Linked DNA regions of Oreochromis niloticus. The protein of the gene in region 2 purifies or fractionates together with the protein of the main gene of each other region. This does not show direct contact. Links are inferred from orthologs where the notes say so. Each region holds a gene or a part of one and is shown on either strand. Other genes may lie near its edges.

Region 1 (7,812 bases), on a different chromosome or scaffold from region 2:
ACCTACAGTACACACAAACACATACATGAAATTAAGTGCACAGTTTTTCAGCGGCCATGTGATGGTTGCTAAGTCAAAGCAACACTTACAACAAGCTAAACATTACGTTACCTTTGAGCTCCTGTATGGTTTTTGCACTGGAGGAAATGTTCTGCTGCAGTGTGGCCTAAACACAAACACACAACGCATGTCAATACTCACTTATCACACTTATTTATAGTTCATATGAAAATTTTCCCTGATAAGTTGTTTATTTGGTGTGAACCGCAACAGTGAGTAAGTCAGAAAAGTGTGTTTATTGCCCATAGATTCCCTTGTGACAAGAGCTGATAGACAGCACCTCTGAGGTAGCGTTTGTGCACATAAAGGTTTTTTGTCACCAGTTTTGTTTGTATGCACCTTGTGTTGGCTGCAGGTGTTCTCAGCTCCCTCCAACTGTCTCTTATAGAGACTTTGTATGTTGCTGATCTGATCCTTTTGTTTCTGGATCTCCTGCTCGAACTCCTTCTTCTTCATCTCGTCTGCTCCTCGCTCTGCTGCTCCACGTCGCACCTGGCCCTCCAGCTCATACAGTTTAGTCTGTGTCACATGCAGCAAGATCAGTATCACGTTACTGCTTTTTATATAGGCCACTTATTTAGAATTTGTCATGGGTCATGATAACATCCATATGAAGAGAACAAAATGACAGAAACTTCCTGGTTCAGAATGAGTCTTTAAGGGTTAACTATGCATACAGATATATATAGTTACACATGCATGTGTTACCTTATTTTCTGTGTCTAATAAGCTAAAACAGGAGTCTTTCTAACCTTATTTGACAGAAATTTCTGAATTTCTTGCCATTTAATGCAATATATTAAACAACAATAAAAACTGGACTGAAAAAAATAAAACCTATCTGACAAAGGGAAGTAGGCTAAAATATCTCAAGCAGCAACACATCATGTCGCAATCTAAAGAAAACTCAAAAACTCTCAATGGAGTTGAGTCACTTACATCTATCAGTCTGAAAAGTGTTACAAAGCCACGTCTAAGTGAAACACTGTGAGAGCCATTTTTCACAATTGAAGAAAACCTGGAACAGTGGTGAACCTTCCCAGGAGTGGCCAGCCTACCAACATTACACCAAGAGCGCCTTAAAGTTCATCCAGGAGGTCATAAAGGAACCCAGAACAACATCTAAAGAACTGCAGGTCTCACTTGCTTCAGTTAGGGCAAGGTAGTATAAACCTTGCCTAACTTCTAGGTATTTTACAAGAAAGGAGACACTCCTTTTCAAAGTTATGTGTGAATGGTGATTGTGAAAGAAAAAAAGAATAAAGTTAGAATTGGTGCAATCATTACAAGGTCACACAGGTCTCCAAATTATGACAGTATTTATATTTTCTTTTAAGTCAGTAAGCGAGAACAGTTCTTGGCACATTTATATTGGTAAAATAAAACACATGTAACGCAACATCAAAGTAAGTACTATTAGAGAAAGACGTAAAAACAAAAAATTTTTTTAAACCTGTAAGCATGATAATTATGCAAAAGAAATAAGAAATGAGGAAGAGTTTGAATACTTTTTAACCCACCTGAAGCTCCAGGTTGCGGGAGCTGGACACCCAGTAGTTAAAGCCCAGAACCAAGATACAGGCGATCAGAGCGGCAATCATAAGAGGCGGTGACCTTCCTCCACGACGCCCGTTCCCCAGCCCACCCATTGCTGTCTACCAACTGAAAACACACAAAGTAGCCCACGGTTAGCACACTTCTCCACACTTTATTTTCTAACTGCATCTTTTAAACACATATTTTCTGTGCATTTCTGGCAAAAAGGTGGTGGTTTTGCAAGTTGGTTGCAGACATGTAAAAAAAAAAAGCTCGCTGTCGGTTGTTGCAGCTTTTGTGTCAGCAAAAACACAAAAAGCTTACACAGGAAATGTTATTTGCACATACATACAGACAACAGTATGTTGAGTGATTCTGTTGGAAACAACACATACACAGCTTTGGTGTTATGTTTACAAATATTACACACCTGTACGGTGTCACACTGAAACATACCCAGCACCACAGACAGCAAAAAGATGTGCTCAAAAGTGGTGACTCAGTTAAAATGTTTTTAATGGGGAAGGGAAAAAACAAACAAGCTAGAAGGACATTCCCAAGGACCAACGGGAGCTAAAATGCAACAACTACATACTAAAGAGCAGCACTACACATCACCGACGAAGTGCCGTATTGCCTAGTTTGTAATACATACTGTCGATGCGGATTCCTGCTTTCCGTGATTCTCCGTGATTCTCCTTAGTCAATCAAATGACCAAAGGATTGCAAAGGCGCAAAGAACTGTTTAACATGTGACAGCGCAATTAGTAACAAAACGAACAACCAGCTAACCTTCAATTTAATATCACGTTAGAAAAATCTGATGTGTACTACTAAATCACAACACAGGCCTGGAGCCAGGGTATACCTGTGTTGTGTTTGGCAGTATAAATCAGAGCCACCCGTATCGTGACGGTGGCGATAACACGGAACAACTCGAGAAAAATGGGTCCTTCGTATAATCGATTAGGCAAATTCAGGTCAAGAGAAAGCAGAAATACTAACTTCGAATTTTTTTTATGTATATTATTTATTAAATATGTGACAAAGCTACATAAACGTGTAAAGAAATGGCCACATTTTCTTCTTATTTGGGCCAGTGCTGAAAGAAGAAGCGAAGGAACTCTACGCTGCAAGCTAACGCTAACATTGTTAGCAGCGCTGCTCCTTCACAGTTGCTGTTACCGTTTTTAGGTCGCTTAGCTAAAACTAGCAGCCGAACCTACTTACCGGATATGTCTGCCTGTCAGAAATCAGAGCCAAATCCGTGAGGCGATATATGGAGTGACACCTCGTTTTATATTCTAACAGCTTTCGTAGACCGTCAACGTCGGACGATTAGCTTGTATCCATCATTGCCACACAGACAGCTCAGTCTGTGTGCTCTGCCTGCTGCCTATGACTGAGACGTTCAAGTACTTCCTCGGATTGCTGTAAAAACAAATCATATTTAGTTTCACATAAATAAATTAATAGACAACGAAATCCCCCTAAACCCTAAAGTATTTTGCAATATCAGCTTCGAAACAGTTTGCTTTTGACTGCTGTCAAGTAATAAATACTGAGAGACTGGTAGTCTAGGCTACTTTAAGATCTAAGAATTTGTTTTTTACGAAGTGCCTAGAAAGGCATCACCGGCAACGGTCAACCGGTCCTCTGCATCTGTAACATTAACGTGTCATATCATGTTAAATAAGATTTAAATAATAAATGTAGGTATATTAAAAATATTAATACATGTAAAACATTAATTAAAAACTAAACAATAAAATATTATATTATTTATAGATAAACTAATGTAAGCAGGATAGGGATTTCTCTACCCAGCCTTTCTTTCTTTCTTTCTTGGGCCTGATCTGAAGTGTGACTTTTATCATTTAAGTGGGAACTGTATGGGGTTAGAACGATGCCACCTTAAAATAAAACTGAAAAAAATATTGAAACTGAAAAAAAAAAATATTGTAAATGAAATAAATGTACTGAAAAATTTTGTATTGAAAGTGAAAAAATTGATAGTGATAAAAGATTAATTGAAACTGTAAAATTTTTCAGTTTCAATTTTTTATGTTTCTGTTTTTTTCAGTTTCAATATTTTTTTCCAGTTTCATTTTAAGGTGGCATCGTTCTAACCTCATAGAACTGGTGTTGTTTTTTTGGTCATGCAAGGAAGAGTGCTCCTTTCTCTGTCTATTTTGAGTTACATTTTAGTATAATTTTGTTTTTTCTTGTGCATTGTCTTTCTTTTTTATGGTTTAATGGTTTTGAAACTTAATGACAATTTTCATGAAGAAAAAAGAAATAAACTAATATTACTTCTTTATCCCGTTTGTCTTTTGACTTCTTTTGAATCTTTTTTTTTTGGAAAAAATACATTTAATATTTTAAAATTAAACAACATTTGTCTTATTCAGATTGCATTAATTGATTTTTCAAGTTGACAAACTTTATGATTATGGCTAATTATAACATAAATATGGAGTCAACGTATATATTTCAACAAGAGATGTAAGATGGTGTGTTGAGAAGTATTTTGAGAAGCTGATGAAGAAAAAATGAAATGGGGAACAGATGAAGTTAAGTTAGTGGATCAGGAAGTGCAGAGAAATAATGAGGAAATGAGAGGATCTATCAAGAGAATGGAAACAGGAAAGGTCCAGATGACATACCTGTGGAGGTATGGAGAAGTCAGAGAGAGAGGGCAATGGACTTTAACCTGATTGTTTAATTCAATTTCAGAGGATGCCTGAAGAATAGAGAACTGCACGGTACTTCAAGAACAAGGATAATGTGAAGAGCTGTATTAACTACAGAAGAATAAAGGTAATAAGCCATAGCATGAAGCCAGTGTGCTTCATGTGCTATGTTTGCCTTAAGAGTGTTGATGGAGATGTATAGAGAGCGTCATAAGAAGTTGCACTCTCTCAGCACTTACGATAGGGTTTCAAGAGAGGAATTTTGGTACTCCACGAGGAAGTCAGGAGTGGTAAAGAAGTATATGAGCATGGTGCAGGACATGTATGAAGACAGCGAGACAGTGGTAAGTTATGTGGTAGAAGTGACAGATGGGCTCAAACTAAGGGTGGGCCTGACTCAGAGATTCAGCTCTGAGCCCTTTCTTGTTTTTAGTGATGATGGGCAGGACTTATGTTTGCAGACAACATTGTGCTCTATTGTTAGAGCAGGTGGAAGAATGCCTGGAGAGGTGGAGGTATGCATTGCACTAGCAAAAGTCAGCCGCCCAAGCTGGACGTGGCAGAGCTGAAGATCCTCGAACTGGGAGTGACCAGGATGAGAAAAGAGTAGATGAGAAGAACAGATCAGGTTGAGTGGTGTGGAGAAAGAGTTAGAGAGGCAATCTGTTTGAAAGGGATAATGGATATATTGGACAAATTCTGTCATTAGGACATGCAGAGGGCTGCAAAAAATACATGTAAAAAAACGAAAACAAAAAACAAAACTCTGTACACTCATGGAATTACAGTATAAACCTCTCTCCATATATTTGCAAACAATTCTCTTGCAATAATTATCTATTTAAAAGAAAAAAAACAACAACCCTCAGGCCATGTGGTAAAATAAACATGGTGACATTTGAAAAAAGGGCTATAAAGGACATCTTGGGATGCTGCTTTATTTCAATTCAATCTTTATTAGCAGACTTCATGTCCATAAAAAACAAGACAGAAACACACACACACACACACACACACACATATATATCTATATATAGATAAATAAGTATATAAAACATTAGTAAAAATATAAAACATTTGTAAAAAATTTGTAAAAATATAAAACCATAATATACATAAAACACAATTACTTAAAATAAATCAATAAATACACAAACACTTTAACCAGTGCTTTCTCAGACTGGATGAGTAACGGGAACCACTCAGTGTCGGATCTGTAAGTGCTAAAATTATACTGTTACTTGAACCATCCAGTCGTTCTCTAAAATTGTACATTAACTTTCTTAAAAGTGCTTTAAAAGTCCAAACACCCACAGCTACAAACATCTGACTGGCACTACCACTTCTAGGTATCCTGCAAAGGATTCTCATCGCATCATTATATGCAACATGCAGCTTCTGCATGCTACATTGTTTGTAGGATGACCACAAGGGGGCAGTATATAGCGGTGTGCAATACGCTTTAAACAAAGCCACTTTAACTGGAAGTGAACAAAAGCTGAATTTGCGTGCAATAGTATTTGCCTGCACATAGAGCTTACATCGTTGTCTGTAAATGTCATCATCATCATTCATTTCCTCAGTAATAAAGTGACCGAGGTATTTCACCTTTTTATGAACTTCAAGAGTTTTTTGGGCCAGTTTAAACAAAGGGAAATTTAGCTGTTTATCCTGCTTGGTTCTACATATCAAAACAGCACTTTTAGCAGCATTGTACTCTATGTCATATTGCACACCATATTCAGTACAGACATTAAGAAGATCCTGCAACCCAGCACTGCTTGGACTAAAAACAACCAGGTCATCTGCATACATAAGATGATTTATCAGTGTTTTACCTAATATACACCCAGTGTTACAGGCTCTCAGCTGCATGGACAGATCATCAACATATAGATTAAATAAAATTGGAGACAAAATCCCACCCTGTCTGACACCATTGCTGACACCAAAGGGGGCAGAAATACTACTTCCCCATTTAACCTGCATGCTCTGATGAGCGTACCAGTAAGAGAGAATCCTCACGATGTATATGTCTTTATATATTTTAGGTCACTCAAAATCCAACAGCAGATAAAGTACACGCAAAAACATTATGTTTTAATTATACAATAACAGTCGAACAGTTCTAAATTGTATAAATAGATGCCTGGAGACTGCACCACATGAAAATGATGCTATTTAGCAGATACAGTTGAAAACAACTTTAAACATGTTTATGTTTTTGATATATTCTCTTTGACATTTTGCTTTAGGCACAAGAATTGAATTTCAAATTAAATAAATATAAAATCTATGCACATACTATGAGGTCTATTATCCACCAATTTTATTATACAACATAACAATATCAAGCACGCATTTACACACATGTGTTAAGAAGTCCTTCTAGTTACCGATCGCTATAAATACCACCTGTATTTATGCTGTTGATATAAAACCCTTTATTAAAGTTATATTTTACATCTTTACGTTTTTTTTCTTAAGAGTGAATTATCTGCATTCAGACTTCCCTTTGCAGAAAATGTTCCATTTGAATCATTTATTCTATTTACAGCACATATTAGCTTTTTGATTTCCCTCCAGGTCCTTCGTGCATCACACGTCGTCAAACACGCCCTTCACTGGAGGTGACAGAGTGAGGTAACTTCCTCCTGTGGATCTACAGCATTAAACACAGTAACACAGTGCGACAGAGAGGGACTGTTAGCATTCTTTTAAAACACAATATTATTCAGATTCATTTTAACACTAATCAACTATATTCTTGGTACTGAATGACATTATACCTTCTGTTGGGCGACTCGTCATCACTGGAGTCTTCCTGCAATAAGCCCGTCTGCTGCTCGTCGGCCTTTTCGTTTCTTCTGGTAAATGTTACAACTGTGAATACAGAGAAGAAAAGATGCACAACACTAGTAAGCAGATTGACTTTTTCTACAAGGGGTGGCTATAGCTCCAGAGATAGAGGTCACCTACTAATTGGAAGGTTAGTAAGTTCGACATATGCATTCACAGAAAAAACGTACCTGTAGATTGGGTGAATGACACAAGTTGTATAATGAGTGCTTAAGTAGAGTAGAAAAGCACGATATAAAAACCATTTTATTTACAATATAAATCATGATAATCCATCAAAAATCCATGTTTGGTGTAATTCAAAACAAAGGGGGAAAGGTGGTGACATGTTAAAAACTCTAAAAATGTTCTTCGTAATAATCATGTGCAGCAAAGAAATGACCGTTATCTACCATCTGCTAGATATTTATATATGTAGAAATATATATAGATGTAAAGCAGGCAGTTGTTCATGTGCAGCGTATTAGGTTCTCGCCACATAATTTTAATCAGATTGAGATCTTGAATTTGACTGTAATTTTACAAAACTTTGATTTCTTTTTTTTTTTTCAGCCATTCTGCTGTAGATTTGTTGCTGCAGCTTGGAATCATTATCCTATTGCATTACCAAGCTACAACCAAGCTTTAGCCGTCAGACAGATGGCCTCACATTTAACTCCAGAAT
Region 2 (7,271 bases):
TAGAAAGACATTTCTAAAGTGAAACACAGTGAGAGCCATTATCCACAAATGGAGAAAACTTGGAACAATGGTGAATCTTTCCAGGAGTGACCGGCCTAGCAAAATTACTCCAAAAGCACATCGACGACTAATTCGGGAAGTCACAAAAGAACTCAGAACAACATCTAAAGAACTGCAGGTCTCAGTTAAGCTCAGAGTTTATGATTCAGCAATAAGGAAGAGACTGGGAAAAATGGCACCCATGGGAGAGCTCAAGGAGAAAACTAGTGCTAGTGAAAACTAGCAAAACTAGCAAAGAACACAATGACTCGTCTCACATTTGCCATATTAAAAACAGTAACAACATCTTGATGATCCCTAAGACTTTTGAGAAAATATTCTATGGACTGTTCCCGCTACATTGGTGTAAAACTAACAAGGGATTTCCTAAAACGTTTCTCTCCGGGTGGGGTCAAACATGGTGGATTCATGAAGTCTGCTCTCTACTAGAGAGGGCTGAAGCTCAAGAGCACTTGGGTTATGCAGCAGGACAATGATTAGAATCAAACCAGCAAGTCCAACTCTGAATGGTTAAAAAAAGACAAAGTGGAGGTTTTGGACTGGCCTAGTCAAAGTCTGGACTGAAATCTTATTGAGATGCTTTGACATGACCTTAAACAGGTCGTTGATGCCTGAAAACCCTCCGATGTTGCCAAATTAAAGCAATTCTGCAAATAAGAGTGGACTTCCTGTGGAATTCCTCCACAGAGATGTGAAAGACTCAATTCCAGTTAATACAAACACTTGACTAGTTCTTGCTGCGAAGGGTGGCACAACCAGTTAGGCTTAGGCTTTCACTCAAGACCAGGTCGGTTTGGATAGCTTTACTTCTATAAGTAAAATGATCATTTAAAAAATGGATTTTGCATCAACTTGCGTTTTCTTTGTTTAATGCTAAAATTAGTTGGATTATGTGAAACATCTAAGTTTGACAAATATTCAAAAAGCTAAGAAATCAGACGGGGACAAATATGTTTTCACAGCACTGTATATGAACTCTAAGACAGCGAACTAATAGAAACGTTTTTATTGTGGGTCAATATTGAACCTCTTTCACATTTTGCCTCTTATAATCTACAGTGCAAGCCGATGTCACTACTGCTAAGACTTTTACATCAGTTCTCACAAACAATAATTTACCTACAATGACATTTACAGTTTTCTCATCCCTTTTATTTCATCCATCATTCACTGGTGGCTGCCACAGCTGTCTGATAGCGGACATTTATCAGGCATGCACTGCACATTCATGCTGTTTTCAGCTGACATCTAAGAAGTCCAAGGACTTCGCTCTCACTCACTGATAAAGTGGTTTTGTCTAAGTTGCCTGCAAATACTTTGAGTAACAGCAACACTTATAAAATAAGCATGGATTAGTGCTAACACACTGAACTTGAAACCGAAGAGTAATTGTTTCAGCCAGCCTGGGTTTTTTTTTTCCTGCTTAATTTTTGGTGCCCCCTAAGAGAGCTTTTAGCCAACGCTGGAGAAAAATCACCAGCACTGTAACAACTTATTTTTAAACCAGCTTTTATGAGCTGAAGATTCCTTTACTGAAAAAAAATGAGATTTTATCTTTATTAGATGGTCAGATAGGGATGTGAACACAGCACCCTTTAAAAAAGGCCAATTCTAAGGCAGGAGAAACACCTGCCGTTAAAGGCCGTGATCGGTGTTTAGGCTCCTGTTGACTGAAAGAAGAAGCCTATTGATACAAGGCAAAATGCTGTCCAACACTGTTTTTCTTGATAAAACCTTGATTAAAGCTTATTTCACTTACTTTATCATTAAACTTTTAGCATTACAGTAGCCAGACTTCCACCAGAGACTCTTTATTTAATAACTTACTGCACAGGAGAAAGAAAGAAGAGGAAAGAAAAGAAAAAGGTCTGAACTTATAAAACATAAATGCGACAAATAGCTGTTTTATGTTGTAAATGATCATAAGATTACTGTCTCCTTTTAGGTTCAATTAAATGACACTTCTTTCTTTTTCTTCTTCTTTTTTTCTGTGCATCCACGGCAAATATTATGTAATAAAGTTACACTTAAGACATTTTTTCCTTTCAAAAGCAGCTCAAAGATTCCCATTGACAAGCCCAGTTTATTAAACAAGCCTGGGATTAAATAGAAAAATACAAATAGGAGCCTAAATCCCATCATGAAACTACCAAATGCTCGGAACAACTGGCCGGCCAAGGTGGAAAAATGGTGCTATTTTAATGCTGAAGGGATTTAAGGATTTTCTGTTTATTGCGCTTTGCTGCACTTTGATTAAAAAAGTACTTACAGCATTATTTGAAAGCACCCTTACTTTACTTTTAGTTAACTTTTGCACACTCTTACAGAAGGAGTAAATAAGCAGTTTGGAATATGTAAGTAAACTTTACAGATGATTATTCAGCAGATAAGTGCTTAAATCTAAATCTAAAAGAAGTAATGTTAAAATTTAAATTTTTATTTTAACATTATTTTTATTATTAGTAAATTTGTTACAATTGAAAGCAGCCGAATCTATCACTTGCGTAATAGCTTTTGGACCTCGACCTTTTTCCACCGCACCCGACTCAAGGCTCTCCAGCTCGGTTGCAGCTTTAGCCTAATAAAACTCACCTTTTCACACGGCACTTCGCCGCACTGCACACGGTTCTCCAGTGTATTAAAGAGGGAGTGAAGGGATTCCCCGGTCAGATACTGCTGTCCTGGAGACACGATGCTCACCACAGCCCCGTAAGCTTCCTCCACAGCGGGGGAACCCGACACAAAACCGAGCAAACCCCACCCGGAGAGAAGCAGCAGAAGAAACGGCGAAGAGGAAATCATCTTAAAACTTTCTTTGAAGAAAAAAATATCTGGAAAGACTAAAAGCCTAAAAAAAATGCAGAAATAGTGTGACACAGAGGTTCATACAGTCTCAAGGTATTTCTGCAGACACATTGAGCCATAGAGCTCAGCTCACGGCTGTTATCAGTTTTAAACCACTGCAGTCTCACTGGACCTCGGCTGTGATTGGCTGAGACATGCCTCGTGCTGTCCTGCACCTGTCTATTATAACCACTGTTACCTGTACAGGTCAGAAAAGGCACCCCACAGGCCTCCCAGGCATCGCCACACCACCAGCAAAACACCAAACAGCGGTTTCACCCATATTAGTGAACCCAAAGTTATTTTAGGCATCACACATCACACAAAGGAGCTGATAGGCTCAACCAACACAAATCCAGGTAAAGGAAATGGATTTTTTGATAAAAGGCTTATGTGGCTGGTTTGCACTGACTGCTGAAGAAGATACAAAATGTTGATGTTTTAATCCTGACCACCATATGAGAGCTATTATTATTATTTATCTTACTTAAAATAAGTGTTTCTATTTCTGTCTATGCAGGCAAAAATACTGGCAAACCAAATACTAAACCATTTGATACTTTAAAAAGGGCCGTTCCAACTTTGTAAACCCTTAATAGACAGTTTCCTGCTTAAATGTTCAGACATCCTTTCCATAACAAAACTGGAATTTATTTTTTAACTCAGTGTCAGGTGCCTTTATCTTAGTGGTAAACAAAATCTTAATTAATTAATATTTCAAGTAAATAAACAGTAACATATGTTTATAAAGCGCTTTTCAAAAACAAAAGTTACAAAGTGCTCTGCAATATAAAGCACAATAACAATACAATTAAAATGGATAAATAGATAAAAGTGACCGGCCCCGACTCCTCTAATGAGGTCATTAAATAAAATCAAAGTTAAGCTGTATCTACCACAGCATTTTTTAGAGGAGACTGTAAAATACCCCTCAGGAAAAGTGCATTTGGCAATCAGCTATACTTACCCACAGTACAATACAATACCCGCAGAAATAAGGAATATAACATTCTTTACTTCTTTCTCTAAATCTATAAAACAGTGGTTACTGGATAATCAAACATGCTGTCCTGATGTGAAATAATGTCACTGAAGGTAATTGATTCTAATGTGTTTAAATATGGTATATGGGTATTTATTATTATTCTTTATTTCATATGTGTTTCTGTATTTCACTTAAGTTCACATGCTTCTGAATGTTTGGTTTTGTTGACTCATTTGTTATGCCATCAACCTGCCAGTGACTACTGATGAAATTGAATCAACGTGGCTAAATCTGCCACATTTATATGATGGATGTAAGTGCTCATGTTAATTAATATGCATTGTCCCTTTTAAATAAACATAAACTAAAAGCAAGTGTGCACAGGTTCATCTTAAGCTTCTTTTTAAAGGTATAAATAGCGGCCGCAGATCTTAAGTTCAATGGTAGCAAATTCCACAACTTAAAGGCAGCAAAATTAAAAATGCAATTTCCTCTTGTCCATTAATTTAAGGAGGTATTTGACCATGAGGAGCTCAGTAAAATCTTAATGGGGTACTGGTATAAAGAGGACATAATCCATGTTCTTTTAGAGGAGCTGGTGAGAAGTCTCACAACTGCATTCTGGACCATTTATGAGCGATCCAAAGATGTGAAATAAAAGCATGCTATTGTCATTTTTATTTCAAATTGAGACACAATATATTTTAGAGGGGCAAATCTGAATAAGACAGCCAAGATACTCATCAAAACTGAATTCCTAATCCAAAGTACAAAGAGATTTCTCACATTTGGGAGATCTTTTTTCAGACCTTTGTTTTCTCAATAGAGAAAAAAAACTAGCAAAGGAAACTTAAAAAGAAAGAATCACATTTCTGCTCTTTTCAAAATAGTTTTTACTTCTACATTAAACTAGGTGGAAAAGAAAAATCAGGCTGTAAAAAGAGTTGACCTGCTTCAGGGAATTACCTAAATATACACCAGGGTCCCAGATTAATTCTGCAGCATGACAGCAAGCCGAAACAAATGACCAGAGACGGAAACAACTATCTATAGTGACAAGGAGAAAACAGAGTCATTACAGTCAGAGTCCTGATCGCTTATCATGGAGTCAGTCAGGGATTATCCCCAGGACTGTTGCACATTCTAAGATATGCGTGGAACAACTTATCTTACAGTTGGCTTGAAAACAGAGGATTGTAAAATTTAAATGTTTCAGATCGTCAAACAAATTTTAATATTAGTCAAAGATAACCCGAGTAAAAACAAGATGCAGAGAAAAAAAGGTATCCACATCTACCTGGTCATGTGTGATAAAGTAATTGCCCCTCAACCTAAAAACTGGTTGTGCCACCCTCGGCAGCAGGAACTACAATCACATGTGCAGAATTGTTTTATTTCAGCCACACTGGAGGGGTTTCAAGCATGCACAGCCTGTTTAAGGTTATGCTAAAGAATTTCAGTCAGACTTTGACTTGGTCACTTCAAACATTCCTTTTATTTTTTTTGAGTCACTCAAACCTGGGCTTGCTGATTATTGTCCTGCCATGTAACTAAAGTGTGCTTAAATTTCAGGGCATGATCTGATGACCGGACATTCTCTTTCAGGATTTTCTGGTAGAGAGCAGAATTCATGGTTCCATCAATTTGTTGTTCAGGTTCCGAAGCAGCAAAGCAGCCCCAGACCCTCACACTACCATCACTGTGTTTAACTGTTTGACTGATGTTCTTTTTATGAAATACTGTGTGTTTCACACCAAGTATAACACGACTCAACCCATCCAAATATTTTCCCAAAGGTCCTGGGGATCATCAAGATGTTTTTTGGCAAATATGAGATGAGCCTTTGTGTTCTCTTTGATCAGTGGTGGTTTTCACCTTTGAACTCTCCCAAGAATTTAGGCTGAGTCTCTTTCTTATTGTTGACCCATGAAACCTGGCTTTTTTTGTGAACTCTTGGATGAGCCACTGATGCGCTCTTGGAGTAATTTTGGTAGTCCAGCCACTCCTGGGAAGGTTTAAAACTCCCTGAAAGCCTTCAGTTAATCTAAAATGCTGCAGCAAGAGTACTGACAGGGATTAGAAAGAGAGAACATAGTTTTCCTATATTGCCTTCTCTTCGTTGGCTCCCTGTTAAATCCAGAATTGAATTCAAAAACTTTCTCCTCACATACAAGGTCTTGAATAACCAGCCCCCATCTTATCTTAATGACCTTATAGTACCGTATCACCCCATTAGAGCACTTCGCTGTCTTACTTGTGGGTCCTAGAGTATTTCAAAAGTAGAATGGGAGGGAGAGCCTTCAGTTGTCATCTGTCAGGTCTCTTTCTGTTGAAAGGGAGTTTTTCCTTCCCACTGTTGCCAAAGTGCTTGCTCATTGGGGTTCATATGATTGTTGGGTTTTTCTCTGTATGTATTGTTGTAGGGTCTACCTTACAATATAAAGCGCCTTTGAGCTCTTTTAGATATCTTCACTTTATCAGACAGGCTCTATTTAAGTGATTTCTTGATTCAATGTGTCTGTTAGCAGGGGGAAGTACTTTTTCCACACAGGGCCAGGCAGGTTTTTCTCTTAATAAATGAAACCATTGTTTAAAAACTGCTTTGTGTATTTACTGTGGTTATCTTTATCTAATACAGAATAAGTTTTTGATGATCTGACACATGTAGAAAGGAAAGGAAGGGGGCAAATACTTTTCTGTAGCACAGAATGAGCAGAAACACTTGGTCACAGATCTGAAAGGTCAGCTATAAAAACTATGGGAGTGAGGTTAAAGAGTTTGCATGTTTATAGGGTCCAAATGTTGAGCTGACACATGGTAGTTTTGCAAAAAGGTTTATGACAAGTGCAAAGATGAAAGCTTTTAAGATGGAAAGCATGAATGTTGTAAAATATCTTAATTTACGCCACTCGTCTCTGCTGCAGTTGAGCAACATTTTACAGGTGTTCTCCTTGAGTTAACAATAAAACCTGCCATCAGTGCAGGACGTGACAACCTGTCCTGAGGCCGAGAATAAACCACAAAGAAATCAGAGACTCCCTGACTCTGCCTGGCATTCCTTTTGCAAGAACGGGTACACCAAGTTCAACATAAGCATCATGAATGTCATTTTGCACTCTAAAACATCCTGACATTCAACAGGTTTGTGATGGTATGTTCATCAGATACTGGTCAATGAAATGAGTGCTTGAGGACACCCATTTCCTCAGTTATGTCTTGTGATATAAGGAATTTAGTAACACTTCAGTAACATTTCCACATATCTTAGTGAAATCCAATACATTAGATTAATTTTCCTTCTGCAGGCAAGTTTACCCTTAACTGCTCCTTCTGTCAACTGGATCACCACAGATGTTCATGTGCTTATAAATTTACCTTTCAC
Region 3 (7,004 bases), about 20 Mb from region 2:
TCTTTTAACATCTGCAGGAAGCTCCTGAGGATGTTTTACCAGTCGGTGGTTGCAGGAGTACTTTTCTATGCTGTGGTGTGTAGGGGGAGCAGTACAGCAAAGAAGGACTCATCCAGGCTGGAAAAACTGATCAGGAAGGCTGGCTCTGTGGTCGGCATGAAGCTGGACACTCTGGTGTCAGTGGCAGAGAAAAGGACACTAAAGAAACTGCTGGACATTATGGACAATGCTGGGCATCCTCTGCACACAGTCGTAAACAACCAGAGGAGCCTGTTCAGCGACAGGTTGCTTCTCCCAAAGTCAAGAACCAACAGACTTAAAAACTCCTTTGTCCAACATGCCATCAGACTGTTTAACTCCTCACTGGAGGGGAGAGGGAGGGGAAACAGGAGGACAAAGGAGGGCGGGAACAACTGAGCTGTAGGTGCTTTTTAACACTGTGCAATATTTGTTTTGTTTTGTTTTTTTTCTTATATTCGACTGTGTTATATAGATACAGAATATTGTATATTCTGTATCTATATATGTGTATATATGGTGTATTTATGCTTATATCCTTACTCTCATTCCCCTTTATTGTATCTGTAACATGCAACTTCTTTCGGTGCTTTGCTACTGGAAACTGAATTTCCCGGAGGAACCCACCCGAGGGATTAATAAAGTTTCATCTAATCTATCTAATCTGATAAATACAGATTCTTAGACATGGCAGTTAGTTAAGTGAATCGAGATAATGGAAGGATAACCTGCATATGCAGAACTCATTTCACTGTACAGAATTGTTTGTTTGTTTGGGTGTTTTTAACCTTCATCATCCATTTCTTGCAGGACCTCTTCCTCCTCTTCATTACATTTCATCTCCTGGTCAGCTGTGCCTCCTGCTGGCCTCTCCACCTCTGTTGTCATCTCCTTGCCTGGTGGAAGGACACACCTGTGAGACAAACCTGCACAAAAACTAGAGGTCCAAGTCAGTAGTTAGCAGCCAGCTAGCAGCTAGAACCACCTCTGTCAGCGTGCACCCATCAGTCAAACATGCCTCTAAAAATGCAAATATTAAGCCTTAATCCAATTTCAACAGGTGAGTTATAAAGCATATAGTTAGGGCTGGACCAGGTGACCCTGAATCCTCCCTTAGTTATGCTGCAATAGACGTAGGCTGCCGGGGGATTCCCATGACGCATTGAGTTTTTCCTTTCCAGTCACCTTTCTCACTCTCTATGGCTACGTTCACACTGCAGGCGAAAGCGCATCAAATCCGATTTTTTTTTTGACCCTATGCGACCCATATCCGATCATGGTATGACAGTGTGAACAGCACAAATCCGATATTTTCAAATCCGATCTGGGTCACTTTCGTATGTGGTACTGAATCCGATACGTATCTGATGTGTTAGAAAGCGACTGCTGTTTGAACGGTCATGTCGCATTAAATCCGTCTTTTACATCACTGACACAAGACAGATGCCAATTATCAGCGCCGGAGAAGACATCGCGAACGCTTCCTGGCCATCCAGTGTAGATGTCAGTGAAACTGTTGGGAAGACAACGTGAACATTTTATTTGTACTGTATAATCTGCAGATTATCCTTTGAAGCACCGCTCCTCTAAAACAGCAATAAGGATCATTATTAGGTTATTTACATTATTATGTAAATAACAGAATAATTTAAAGCAAAAATTGGGAAACAAAGTCTGAAGTCTTTATATTAAGGGCCATCAGTCAAACAATATTGTTTGCTCTGGGTCTAAACAGAGCGAGTTGTGTGTGACATCTTCTTTTTAACATGCGGGTCGCTTTGAGCGTTCACACTAGAGCGCGTTTGCTGTCGCATTTTATTTGTAGTGTGAACAAGCAGACAAAAAAATCGGATTTGATCAAAAAATCGGAATTGAGCATTAAGACCTGCAGTGTGAACGTAGCCTATGTGTTAATAGACCTCTCTGCACTGTATCACACTTGTTATTAATCTCTGTCTCTCTTCCACAGCATGTCTTTATCCTGTTTTCCTTCTCTCACCCCAACCAATCACAGCAGATGGCCCCGCCCCTCCCTAAGCCTGGTTCTGCCAGAGGTTTCTTCCTGTTAAAAGGGAGTTTTTCCTTCCCACTGTCGCCAAAGTGCTTGCTCATAGGGGGTCATATGATTGTTGGGTTTTTCTCTGTATCTATTATTGTAGGATCTACTGTGCAATATAAAGCGCCCTGAGGCGACTGTTGTTGTGATTTGGCGCTATATAAATAAAATTTAATTTAATTGAATTGAAAGTTATAAAAACATTCATCAGGTACAGTTGTTCTGAACAGGGAGATTATCTATAGAGACCTCATTTTTAATACAGTCTAATAAACCAATTCTGCAATTCAAACAGGACATCAGTCAAAATAAGCTTTATAAAAGTATTTCACAGGGGGTTCCTAACAAAGAGCATGTGGCTAATTATACCAATGTTATTTTTGAACACAAAAGGAAATCTCAAACTAAAATTCTTTCCTTTTGGTTTAAATCTTTGAAAACAAATTTTAAAAAACTAAATAAACAGTAAAAGCTAACCCAGTTTACTGTTGCAGCTCTACACAGATCTGAAGCTATTTCATTAATAAATATGTCAGCTGCCCTGTATGAGCATTCTGCTAGTGGTTATCTCAAAGTTAGCAGTGCCAACTTCATCAATAAGGAGCTCCTATTAATATTTTATTTTCAACAACAAAGGGATTTAATTAGTAGCTGATAGAGGGAGTAGCTCAAAGTTGTTCTAGTTGACCCTAAACTCGATCAGAAGCAACAGAGCTTAAAATACATTAATAAATTCAGTTCATGAGCAAGTTTCAAAACTCAATAAAAACACATTCAGTAACCACAGCTGCAGCTTAGCATGCTAAAGCTCAACGACGTTTCACTTACTGATTTCTAACTATTAAAAGTTGAGTGATATGAACAAATCTATACACCGTTATTTTTCCCTACAGTCTCTCCACACTGCAGCTTAGCATTGAGCTAACTATGCTAACTAGCCGAGCTGCTAACTCAAAGACTTCAATAACTCTGGATGACATCCACTGAAAAAGTATACCAACCAGACGCTTACCTTATCCGGACATTTAATGTGCAAAATAATTATATATTCCGTTAAAATTCCGCCTGTGAACCGTGTGCTTTTCTTTTAGGAATAAAATGAATAATGTGTGGTCTTCACACACACGTTGGGGATGTTGTTTGCTCCTGCTAGCACAACCATATCCCTCCGCCAACAACCTCCTGTTAGCGCTGCTGCTGTTACGGGACTACATTCAGACAGAGCGGAGTGATACCTGTCCGTGGGGCTCACAGCAGCTGTTTTGATATGTGGCTTATTAAATGTTTTCCTCCTCGTAACCGGATGTTTTTGCTTATCGATGATAAATACGCTCAGTTTAAGCACCACACTCTGCCAGTTTAAGTAGAGTTCAGCTTCATGTCGGCACGCTAACAGTTGTTAGCATGCTTCTTATCTTTGGCATGCTAATGCTAAGCTAATTATTAGCAACACAGAGTTAATCGGTTTGGGACTGTTTTTATTTACAGAGTCTATAAACTCTGATTAAAGACATGAACGGCGAACATCAAAGGCTCTAATGTAACAGCTCCGGAATCTAGCTAAACTTTCCAGCCCAAAATGTCAGGATGGTTTGGCGATTCCTAACACAACAACCAACAAAATGTAAAAAGAAATCAGTAAATATATTTATATGTAAATAAGATACATGTTTACTAAGTCTAGTATTTGTTGTTGTTGTTGTTGTTATTGTTTTTGGCATAAATAAAGCATTTCATAAGTGGAATTGTGTAATTTATGTTTTTTCCATTTTAAAATTCGGACTGAAGGATGTTATTCTATGTCAGCCTAAAAGGCAATATCAACATGCATCATCATCATCATTATTATTATTATTATTATTATTATTATTATTATTACTAGTTTAAAAAAATCTCTCAGAACCCGATGACGCAAGCAGAGTGCGTGTGGCACGTGATGTCAGGGACCCGGAAGGAAGTTTGCACCAGTGTTGTTATAGCAGCTCCGCAGGTAAAGAGACGAAAAGCCCTCTCTGTAGCCGCTGCTCTTTGTTTATTTGTTTTTGTTTGTGGTCTCTGAGTGTCGCTATCATGAATGTGACGCTCGAGGTGAAGCAGTACATCTCCAAGATGATCGAGATCAGCGGGCCCGGGATGAAGGTGCTGCTCATGGACAAGGAGACGGTGAGGCACCGACCCAGGACTGTTAGCGGTGCTGGTGCTGAGCAGTGTTTACAGCAACGTTACTGTGTCTGATGGTGTCTGTGTGTGTGCGCGTCTGTGTGTTCAGACCAGTATAGTGAGCGTGGTGTACACTCAGTCTGAGATCCTGCAGAAGGAGGTTTACCTGTTTGAGCGGATTGACTCTCAGAACAGAGATAACATGAAGCACCTTAAAGCTATCTGCTTCTTGCGGCCCACCAAGGTACAAACCACCCTCTGAGTAACATTGTGTGTGTCTGTGTGTGAGGTAACACCATCTGCAACAGTGTGTTTGTGTGCTTGCTGCAGGAGAATGTGGAGCACCTGATCCAGGAGCTGAGGAGGCCCAAGTACAGTGTCTACTTTATCTGTAAGTTTCCACAGTGACAGGGCGGGAGTGAGAGGAGAACGGGGTTGCTGGTTTGGCACTCGTCTTCCTCGGACAGTTCAAACATAGTTCGGAAGCTAACATATGCAACTGAGTTTAGCTTTGCTGCAGAATCCTAGAGATCAGTGATGTAATCAGAAAATTCGTGATACACATGGATGAGGGCCTGCTACCAGCGAATCCTGCTGCTTTTAATGACGCCAGTCTGATTAAACACAGTGACACTGTCATCAAATGTGAGTCGTTTTCTACTTAGAGCTGTGGATTTGTCAGCTGAGCAGATATCAGAGATTTTTTCTGTGGAGTTAGGTGTGGGGCAGAAGTTTGTTTCAGTCTGTTTCATCTGAAGTTCATCACCTGACTTGTGTGTGTGTGTGTGTGTGTGTGTGTGTGTGTGTGTGTGTGTGTGTGTTTCAGACTTTAGCAACGTGATCAGTAAGAGTGAGATCAAGGCCTTGGCTGAGGCTGATGAACAGGAAGTGGTGGCTGAAGTCCAGGTGAGTGTCAGGACCTCAGAGAAAGCGTGGGGGTTTAATATTTCCACATTACTGATGATGTAAGATCTCTCTGTCAGTCATGGCGGTTCATTTTTAGCTGAACTTGACTGCCAAAATACATCTTAACAACACGATAACTTAACAACGTCACTATTATTACAATGATATTAGTCCAGAGTCTTTTTCTCTCTTCACCTCCTTGTTGCATGTGGAAACCTGGTTCAGTCTTTGGACAGATCATTATTTCACTGATTTAACATTTCCTCTAATAATGCAATAAATACTTGTTTATAATCAGAGTTTCAGCTGACTAGAGCTACATTCAGCTGAAAGTGTTCCTCTGTGACGACTTCATTTGATGACATCAGTAACATGTAGCCCAACATGCTAAGTTTATGTATATGTATGTAATATGAAAGAATTCCTTGCTAGTAACATCCAGTTTGGCCTGCGTGACCATCAGTGCTCCATTAGCCTCTCATCATTTCTCCAAATGTCAGGTGAGATCCTCCTGATGCTACTGATAGTCACAAATGGAGGAGGAGCTTCCTATGGCGGTTTGTGGTCGGGCCGAGCTGTTTGATCAAATTTAATTTTAATGCAGACACAGAACAAAACTGTGCCGAGAATTCATAGGATGTCTTGGAAAGCTGTCCTCCTCCCTGCGTGAGCATCACCATCACTCTGCTTCATGTTTGGTGTGAACACAGTTCATACACCTGAGTGACATCATCAAAACCAAAATAGCAGAAGTATAGCTTACTGTGTGTGTGTGTGTGTGTGTGTGTGTGTGTGTGTGTGTGTGTGTGTGTCTGCAGGAGTTCTACGGAGACTTCATCGCCGTGAATCCTCACCTCTTCTCCCTGAACCTGCAGGGAGTCACTCGGGTAAGAACCACAAGGCCCTCAGCTGTCAGAGCTCCACCCTAAAAAGCTCCACACACTGAAATCACATCACCTCTGTGTGTGTGTGTGTGTGTGTGTGTGTGTGTGTGCGTGTGCGTGTGTGTGTGTGTGCTTTTTAGGGGCGGAGCTGGGAACCCTCTATGTTGGCACGCTGCACTCAGGGATTGACCTCCGTCCTGCTTGCTCTGAAGAAATGTCCAATGATCCGCTACCAGTTGTCCTCAGACATGTCCAAACGGCTCGCGGAGAGCGTCAAGGTTTCCACAGCATCATCATCACACACGTCATCACTGAAAAGTGCTTTTAATGCCACTACAGGTTATTTTAGCGCCGTGTGTCCTGTTGGCTGTTCGAAGATGATGCCACCTCTGTGCTGTAACCTGAGCCCTTTGGTTAAAGCACTTGAGCCTCAAGCTGTTAACACTTTTACTCAAGTAGTACTCTGAGTAGTACTTTTATTCTTCAGTATTTTATTTGTTTGTTGTCAGCAAATCATCACGAAGGAGTACGAGCTGTTTGACTTCAGGAAGACTGAAGTTCCTCCTCTGCTGCTTATCCTGGACCGCAGCGACGATGCCATCACGCCGTTGCTCAATCAGGTGACTGGTCGCTGTCCTCTGTGACGTCGATGAAGAAATTAATTAAAGGAAATCATTTTACATTTTTAATAATTCTGTCATCTTTTACACTGCATCCTCTGCAGCTCATTTGTCACTTTAATTTGATGGATGTTGTGTGCCGCTACAAAATCAGCAAATCATAAATTCACTGGTTGTGTGTCTGTGTGAAGTGCATGCGTGTTTACGAGCTTTCGCTGTGTTGCAGTGGACATACCAGGCCATGGTCCACGAGCTGCTTGGCCTCAACAACAACAGGATCGACCTGTCCAGAGTCCCCGGGATCAGCAAAGACCTGAGAGAGGTGGTCCTGTCAGCTGAGAATGACGAGTTCTACGCCAA
Region 4 (7,377 bases), on a different chromosome or scaffold from region 2:
CAAGTGAGCCAAGTTACTGTGAGACAATAAACATTACAGCCCTGAAACACTGACAATGCATAAACTAAAAATACTGCACTGCCATAACCACAGGAATTGAAACTCTACCAAAATCTACACTAATTTATGAGAACGGGTGACTAAACGCTAATCCTTCCCCTTAAAAGATGCTCTTACAGTCTTCACGATTATGAAATTAATTTTTAAATACCATTAGTATTTATTCAGAGCGATAGCTCAGATTGAAAACCTGACGTACAAAGTCAGTGCGATGAATCGGCTGAGATGTGTGGAGGGGAGGAAGTGGGATTATCGGGAGAAGGATGCAGAAGATGAGGCTGACAAGCAAGAAAAATCAAAACAAAAAGGAGCATTACGGTTGTTTTGACAGAAAATGCCGATGGTTGGCATGAAAAGGGAAGATTTAGAAGACAAGAAGAGTTGGAAACAGACATTTCACTGAACTGATCAAAAAGAAGAAGCTGCCAAAAATAAATAAGAGCATTGCTTACATCAGCATTACACTTTTTTCAATGCTGATAAAGTAGATGACCTTCTCTACCTCCTGAGGCATGCCATCCCACCCCTAATGCACCTGAAGTACTCGCATCTTGATAAATCCTCACGCCTGTTAACCTAATATCAGACAGAATTAACTCATTATGACCGGTTCAAACAGTGGGTGTTCGTTTTTTCTTTTTATGGTTGATTTAAGCCTTTTCATTTTAGGTGTTTAAATTAGAATATATTCATTTGTTATTTTGATCTTGATTTCTGTTTTTCTGTCTATTTATTCTTTTAATGAATACAAACTGATGACTGCCCTAAATAATATAATAGTTTATTTGCCTTTAAAATTTTAAACAGTTTTGACAATTAGTGACAAAACAAAATAGAACTGGTTTTATTTGTGTGCATAGAGATGGTGTTAACCCGACATGAATTCCCATTGCCGGTATTACACTAATAATACTCCAATCGAAAATCTAAATAAAATAGGATTATATTGGATTTTCTGTGACAAAATGCATCATATTTTGGTAAATAACATGATATAAAACGCAACTTTTTTTGCTAAGAGTGAATGTATGAAGAAAAGGATTTTAAAAAAAGATCCCAGATAAAAAAAAAAGCAGTAGGTAATTTCTATACAAGTGAATTTCTTTTTGCAACCAGAGTTCGCCTCCTGCTGGCCATTAGACAGAATACAGGCAAGAGAAAATTTTACACTCAGAAGCAATAGCATCATATCAACAATCAAAATCAAGTATATTCAAAACTTTTGCAATTTAAAAGATTAAAAAACATCAAATAATTTTTTTTCTGACTTATTGCAGATTTAATAATAACAAAATAAATGTAATTACATTTAATAAAATTTAATAATAATCAGGAAAGTACTCATTTTCACTGAGCTATAAGCAGTTTGATTCCCTCCATTTCTAATATGTGTGGAAAATTCTGGTATTTCTGTGTGCAGTGTGGTAAACAGACCCACCTGTCTGAGTTTCTCCATGTCCCTGTAAGGCAAATCCTGGAACTTTACTCCATCAGACCACATTTTTGCTTTTATCCTCCTGATATCTTTAGCATCTCGGAAAAGGAGCTTGAATCCTGGAATGAGTGGCAGAAAAAAATTGTTTTAAATATTACTGTAGATTTAAAAATATTATTTGACTCTTAGAACAAAGTGCTTTGTAGCATGCTGTTTATTTAGACACCAACTCCTGGGCCTGCTTGTACTTCTGTAGATGTTCACTTTAGATTGGGGCCACAAAATGATGTAATTATATAATCATTTGTATATTACAAACAGTGTGTAGTATGCAATGTTTGTTTGCTTGTTTAATGCAGTTTTAATAGAGTAAAATGAAAATGTGACTTGCAGGACCTGAAAAAAATAAGCTTGGGTAAGTGATGGACAAGAACAGTGTTTTCTCAATATAATGCTGCCAATGGGGTGATGTTTGAAAGAAGACAACTGGACTTCTTTAGGTTTTTGAAGATATTTCACCTACCATCCAAAAGGCTTTTTCAATTCTAGAACAGAAGCAGACAAATCCATACAGGAAGTAAAGACCCTGAGGACCCTGATGTTAGTAGACCAGGTGAAACGATCATATTAAGGTCATGGACTATGAGAAATCTGGCTATTCATGTCCCTGTATAAATGTTTTATTTTAACTCCAGATTCTGATCATGAGTTGGGTCTTGAATTCTCTCTCTCTCAGCAACTTTCATCTTCAAAAACCTTCATATATAAGGTGCCTATGTACTACAGCAGCCTGTTTCCTGGTCCCTAGTCAGGTCTCCCAACCTCATTGTTGGGCTAACAAGACTCACAGGGCACTCCTGTAGTGTTTTTGGAGACCTCAGATGTGAGTAAACCGTGAGCTTACCTTCCACGAAAGTGTGATAGAGCAGAAAAAAGCGGGGAAATCGCTTTTTAAGGAAATCTTCATATTTGGTATTAGCCCACTGGAGTTTGGAGGCAACATAACGAGCAAAACCTCGTCTGACTTCGGACGATGAGTAGTGTCTACACAGGGGCAGTCTGTCAGAGAGGAAAGATATTATCTGTCATTAAAGGAATAACATCTTTGTTTGTACATTAAAGAATTAAAAATGATTGCTCTTTATCGTTAGGGTATGCACCAATCACAATATAATAATTGCTCTGATGAAAATATCAACAACGTACTTTAATTTTTATTTTATTTTATTTTCAATATCTCTTATCAGCCGGTAGGTATAGCTAGCTTAGCAAAGGTTCACGAAACACGAGTAAAACAAAAATGATAAATGATGGAAGCGACAATGTTAAACGGCTTCATATATACCTGAACTGACAGAGCATGTAGGGAGAGTGAAGACCATGTGTTATCCTGTTTGTACCCAGACGACAGTGTCGGATTAAAGACAGTTGACTACACAGACTCGAACAGGACAGCGCCATGTTTGACAGCCAGCGCACTTACCGTAATGACGCTCATATACAGCAAAGATAAAAGTAAGTCAGTTACCGTAATGGCAAAAAAATGGTGCCAGGCTCAATATGAGCCACATGCTACATGCTAAGTGTGTAAAATGATGCCAAAAAAGCTTTCTTTCTTTGATAAATGTAAATAAGCATTCTAAAAACATTGACTCTTTCATATTTTAATGAACCATCCATTCACAAAATAAAAAGTCTGCTATAATATAAGAAAAATATGATATGATGTGATACAAATAAGTCCAATTACAAATAAGTTTTTCATTATAAGTATAAGTATATTACATTTTGTTGTTTTCGCTGCTCTAATACAATGATTTCTAACCTTTTAAAATCACTAAAGAATTTCAAATTTTTTCTTATTCTCTATACTATTTCTTTGCCAGTAGCTGTGTACTTTTACGTTAGCATTTTACTTTGAGTACTGACATTTTACACGTAATCAGTAGTGTCTACTGTACTCTTAATTTTGCTTGAACAGTTCATTTAATTTCGTAACTTTTTCCAAAAGTCAGTGCAATTTAATTAGCATGTTTTATTGATGCTATTTAACATCTTTACTTAAAAATGAATGGGTACTTTTTGCACGGACAACTAATTTAATTAGCTGCTTCTTCCACCATAAACCAGAGATTCAGTTTGCACATTTTATTGATAGAATTCATAGTTCATATAAAAAGATTTTTTAAAAAGTAAAATTTAAAAGTTAAAATCCCTGTAGAGTAAATAATTTTTTTAAGTGCTAATCACGTGACTCTTCGCGAGGTTTAAAGAAGTGGGGCGGCTCTGGTTGCTTGATGTCTTTTGAGAGAAACGGCTCTCTTTCACGGTAATTTTAAACCGCTTCTAGGCTTTATCTGATGTATTTTCTACAGACTTTACAAAAATTAAGTGCAGGTGTTTAAAATTCACGTGTCTCGGGCAATGTGCTGAGTAGCTAGGCAACTTTTTGCTAACAGATTTTGGAAACGGGCCAGCTCTTCTTGCTGCATATTTTACGGTAACGTTTGAACGTTTGATGAGCTAGGTACTGTGAAGCGTGTCCATGAGGTAGCCCTGCGACTTATTTTAGCCATAAAGAATGGCTTTATATCAGTCAAATGTGAATATTTGGTCATCATGGGAGTTGTGAGCTGGAAGATGAACATAAAAGCCATGAAAAATTAATATTAAACTCTGCAGTTAAGAGTGCGTTAGATGTTTAATCAGGTCAAAGAAGAACAGGGGGTGTAGGAACCACCTGCACGTGTACTGCGACGCAAAGAGTTGGGGGAAAAGAGCTAGCTTCATTCACTAAGGTCACTCATGTTTCTGTCTTTATACACATATTAGGAGTATTTTTTTTCTTCTTCTCTATATTTAAAATTAATCCAAACCAGCAGGTTAAGTTAAGCTCACTTTGGGGTGACAGAAAAATGTTGCACACGTGCAGAGCTGAAGGGTTAATGTGGTTATGCACCTTGTGAATGCTGTGTCATGTGTTGGCATTACCAAAGTGCAAGCGTATTTGGGGGTGGGTGGTTATATTTTAATTTAAACAGTTTGCCTGCCCACAGTAAATCCCAGCTACAGATGGCGAGCAATTTCGGAATTGGAAGCACCACCAGTCCCTGCAGGACCTCTTCTGCAGAGCCAGCACAGCTGGTGGAGGAATATGGTAAAACCAACTTTTTTTCTTTTCTTTTTTTTTTAAAAACATTTTACGGTGTTGTCAGTACTTTTAAATGCTAAGTTAATGCATTTGCTTCTCACCCCCTTTAAAGATGGGAAAGGAAACACAGACCCAGAAAAACTTCTTCAGTGCCCTTTTGATAAAAACCACAAGATCCGGTCCAGCCGCTTTCCTTACCACATCATAAAGTGCAGGAAGGTGCGTCAAGTGCTAGTATCTTAAAATTTTAAGTTTTAGTTGTATTTTTTTTCTATTTTACATTAGTCTGTCAATTTGGGTTTACTCATTTTCGTTTCGTTTTTTTAGTTTCAATAGTTCCAGTGATGGTTTTAATCTTATAAGAGAGTTTGGCCTTGTTAGAAGTTCACAGCAGCCATTACAATGCAAACATTACACTTTGTGAAAGCAGTGACTGTCAGATACAATGCACCTAAGCCTCATCAGGCAGGCTGTCTATACAAATGTGAGCAAATTAAGACTTGTACTAAAGTCTTCTTAAAATTGATTTTATGATGCAATATAACTTTGTGATACGAATGAATGAATTCAATTAATGAGAATTTTTATTCCTAGTTTTGTAGCTTGGTATAGTAACTAGTATTTATTTTATTTTTATTTTTTTTCTCTCTCTTTAGGCCACTAACAGACATTCTGTGTTTATATAAATTGGTTTAGCTGACCTCAGTATTAGCCAGTTGCATTTGCTTCTAGTCACCAATATATTAGCAGCACTTAGCCTGGATGTTGCAGCCCTGCACAGTTTAAACTAAATTCAAATTACTGCTTTCTTCTCACGTCATTGAGGGTAGATTAAATGTTAGAAGGGCCTCGGTGTCATGCAGCTGAGTTAAACAGCATCCTATTGAATAATCTAACCGCTGAACCAGCGCTTAAAATTATTTTTATCAAGCAGAACATCACAGCACTGAGGTAGCCAAATTTTCTCCACTGGTGGGTGAGGGAGAAGAGAAATTGTTAAATGGAGAAGCTGGTACTGGTCTCGAGTAATTCCCTGGCTTGAATTAAACTTTAGCCATGACTGGAAGTTTAATTGTTTATATAAACTCTCTGCAGAACCATCCCAAACTGGCCCGTGAATTAAAAACCTGCCCTTTTAATGCTCGCCACCTGGTCCCCAAACATGAGCTGGCTCACCACACTGAGACCTGTGAGGACAGAGTTCCTGTGGACATGGAAGAAGGTAAGATTGCTTTTCCTTTTTTTTTTTTTTTTTTTTTTTTTTTTTAACTTAAATTTAATCATGTTTAACATCGTGAATATTTCTTATTTTACAACCCTATTATAGATGGAAGTTCAAGTTCAAATGGACCTTGTAACTGGCATGTCCCAGTCAGCACTTGGGTTAACCCAAACATGACTGAGGATTGGGATCAAGGTATGACTTATGACCTCATCATCTTGGTACTGGCACAAGGATAACTAACCTTAACCTGGCTGTGTTAATCAAGCATTAAAGTACTTTAGGCTCGCTTTCCTTGTAATGGAAAGCTGAAGACAACTGCTCCTCCTGCTTGAAGCTTATGCTCACTTGATCTGTGACCTCTGTAAACGCTTCATCTGGGTTAATGGTCTCAGTTGCTAGTTTTAGTAAATATTACTGAATAAAACTCTAACTCTGGAAGACTGCTCAGGCCTGTTGTGATGAACTGCAACTGTGTAAAATGTGAAATATCCCGTTTCTCACCTAGATCCTACCTAGAAACAATACTCCATTTTAAGAATGGGTCTGAGATCTTAAATGGACCTGAAATATAAACTTTTTGTGCTGCACCCTGAGACATTGAGACATTAATTACTGAAAGTATTAAGGTAACTGTCCCATCTTGCAGAGGCGGATAACACTGCTGCTCCATTTGTGTGGGGTGAAACCAAAACCATTGGGCCAAGGTAAGTCAGCTCTTCGATCAGTCGGCATCAGCTAACAGTAGTTTTTCTGTGTTCTCTAACTGTTGCCTCTCTCCCACCAGACAGGAAACAAGACCCACCAATAATCTTGGTCCAACGTTTAGATCACCCAGTGACATTCCATGGTCTGGTTTTTAAGCCATAATTTGTATTTACTGCAGGTCCTGATAGCTAATTGTAGGCCTGTTGCATGTTTAGCTATTTCCCTTTTTAAATTTGTTCTTAACATTTTTTTTTTTTTTTTAACTTTCCCTCAATGTGACTCATGCCTTCTGCCAGATGCAGACTACGATGATGTGATATGTCCACTTTTTTTTTTTTTCGTCGTGTCTAGCATCCTCACTGTTTAGTCAGACTGCATTGTTGCTTAATAAAGCTGTTTATGTGAGGAAACTTGTAAGTTTATTTATTTTCTTTTTAGTCACATGCTATGCACTGCTTCAAGATGGTTTAAAGGCAAAATTTTCAAGTCCTATAGTCGCAGCAAGAATCCGGGACTTGACATAAAGTCACAAGGTCTGATTAAATCACCAAAAACAGTTGGTGTAGAGCAGGGGTGGGGGAACTCCAGGCCTCAAGGGCTGGTGTCCTGCAGGTTTTAGATATCGCCCTGGGTCAACACACCTGAATCAAATGATTAGTTCATTACCAGGCCTCTGGAGAACTTCAAGACATTTTGAGGAGGTAATGCAGCCATTTTAAACAGGCTGCTTGGGGTGTAACATGAACTTTATTTTGGGCTATTCTAGTTGTGCCGCATGCATATGTACACTTAAACCAGGTT

Evidence for each region.
Region 1: the proteins of slc39a4 (region 2) and golm1 purify together in Homo sapiens (affinity purification with mass spectrometry; 3 studies listed by BioGRID and IntAct, counting the BioPlex papers as one, with this or other methods). This does not show direct contact. The link is inferred for Oreochromis niloticus from reciprocal best matches to the Homo sapiens genes SLC39A4 and GOLM1.
Region 3: the proteins of slc39a4 (region 2) and vps45 purify together in Homo sapiens (affinity purification with mass spectrometry; 3 studies listed by BioGRID and IntAct, counting the BioPlex papers as one, with this or other methods). This does not show direct contact. The link is inferred for Oreochromis niloticus from reciprocal best matches to the Homo sapiens genes SLC39A4 and VPS45.
Region 4: the proteins of slc39a4 (region 2) and letmd1 purify together in Homo sapiens (affinity purification with mass spectrometry; 3 studies listed by BioGRID and IntAct, counting the BioPlex papers as one, with this or other methods). This does not show direct contact. The link is inferred for Oreochromis niloticus from reciprocal best matches to the Homo sapiens genes SLC39A4 and LETMD1.

Annotation. Positions count from the first base shown.
Region 1 is NC_031977.2:20,711,201-20,719,012, reverse strand, and holds the start of golm1 (Golgi membrane protein 1), read right to left. Parts: upstream 3,011-7,812; 5' UTR 2,827-3,010; intron 1,723-2,826; 5' UTR 1,710-1,722; coding exon 1,581-1,709; intron 580-1,580; coding exon 400-579; intron 167-399; coding exon 112-166; intron 3-111; coding exon 1-2. Other genes in the region: LMBR1 domain-containing protein 2-B, read right to left, coding at 6,888-6,951, 7,079-7,172.
Region 2 is NC_031985.2:18,074,004-18,081,274, forward strand, and holds the start of slc39a4 (zinc transporter ZIP4), read right to left. Parts: upstream 3,018-7,271; 5' UTR 2,863-3,017; coding exon 2,653-2,862; intron 1-2,652. UniProt on the Homo sapiens protein: Selective transporter that mediates the uptake of Zn(2+). Plays an essential role for dietary zinc uptake from small intestine. The Zn(2+) uniporter activity is regulated by zinc availability.
Region 3 is NC_031985.2:38,208,351-38,215,354, reverse strand, and holds the start of vps45 (vacuolar protein sorting-associated protein 45), read left to right. Parts: upstream 1-3,993; 5' UTR 3,994-4,144; coding exon 4,145-4,237; intron 4,238-4,343; coding exon 4,344-4,478; intron 4,479-4,564; coding exon 4,565-4,625; intron 4,626-5,060; coding exon 5,061-5,140; intron 5,141-5,958; coding exon 5,959-6,027; intron 6,028-6,164; coding exon 6,165-6,302; intron 6,303-6,533; coding exon 6,534-6,644; intron 6,645-6,870; coding exon 6,871-7,004. UniProt on the Homo sapiens protein: May play a role in vesicle-mediated protein trafficking from the Golgi stack through the trans-Golgi network.
Region 4 is NC_031984.2:9,542,012-9,549,388, reverse strand, and holds the start of letmd1 (LETM1 domain-containing protein 1), read right to left. Parts: upstream 3,003-7,377; 5' UTR 2,957-3,002; coding exon 2,841-2,956; intron 2,555-2,840; coding exon 2,400-2,554; intron 1,615-2,399; coding exon 1,499-1,614; intron 1-1,498. Other genes in the region: gtsf1 (gametocyte-specific factor 1), read left to right, coding at 3,793-3,824, 4,537-4,652, 4,759-4,865, 5,742-5,868, 5,974-6,063, 6,518-6,575, 6,656-6,731. UniProt on the Homo sapiens protein: Plays an essential role for mitochondrial structure and function, as well as thermogenesis of brown adipocytes.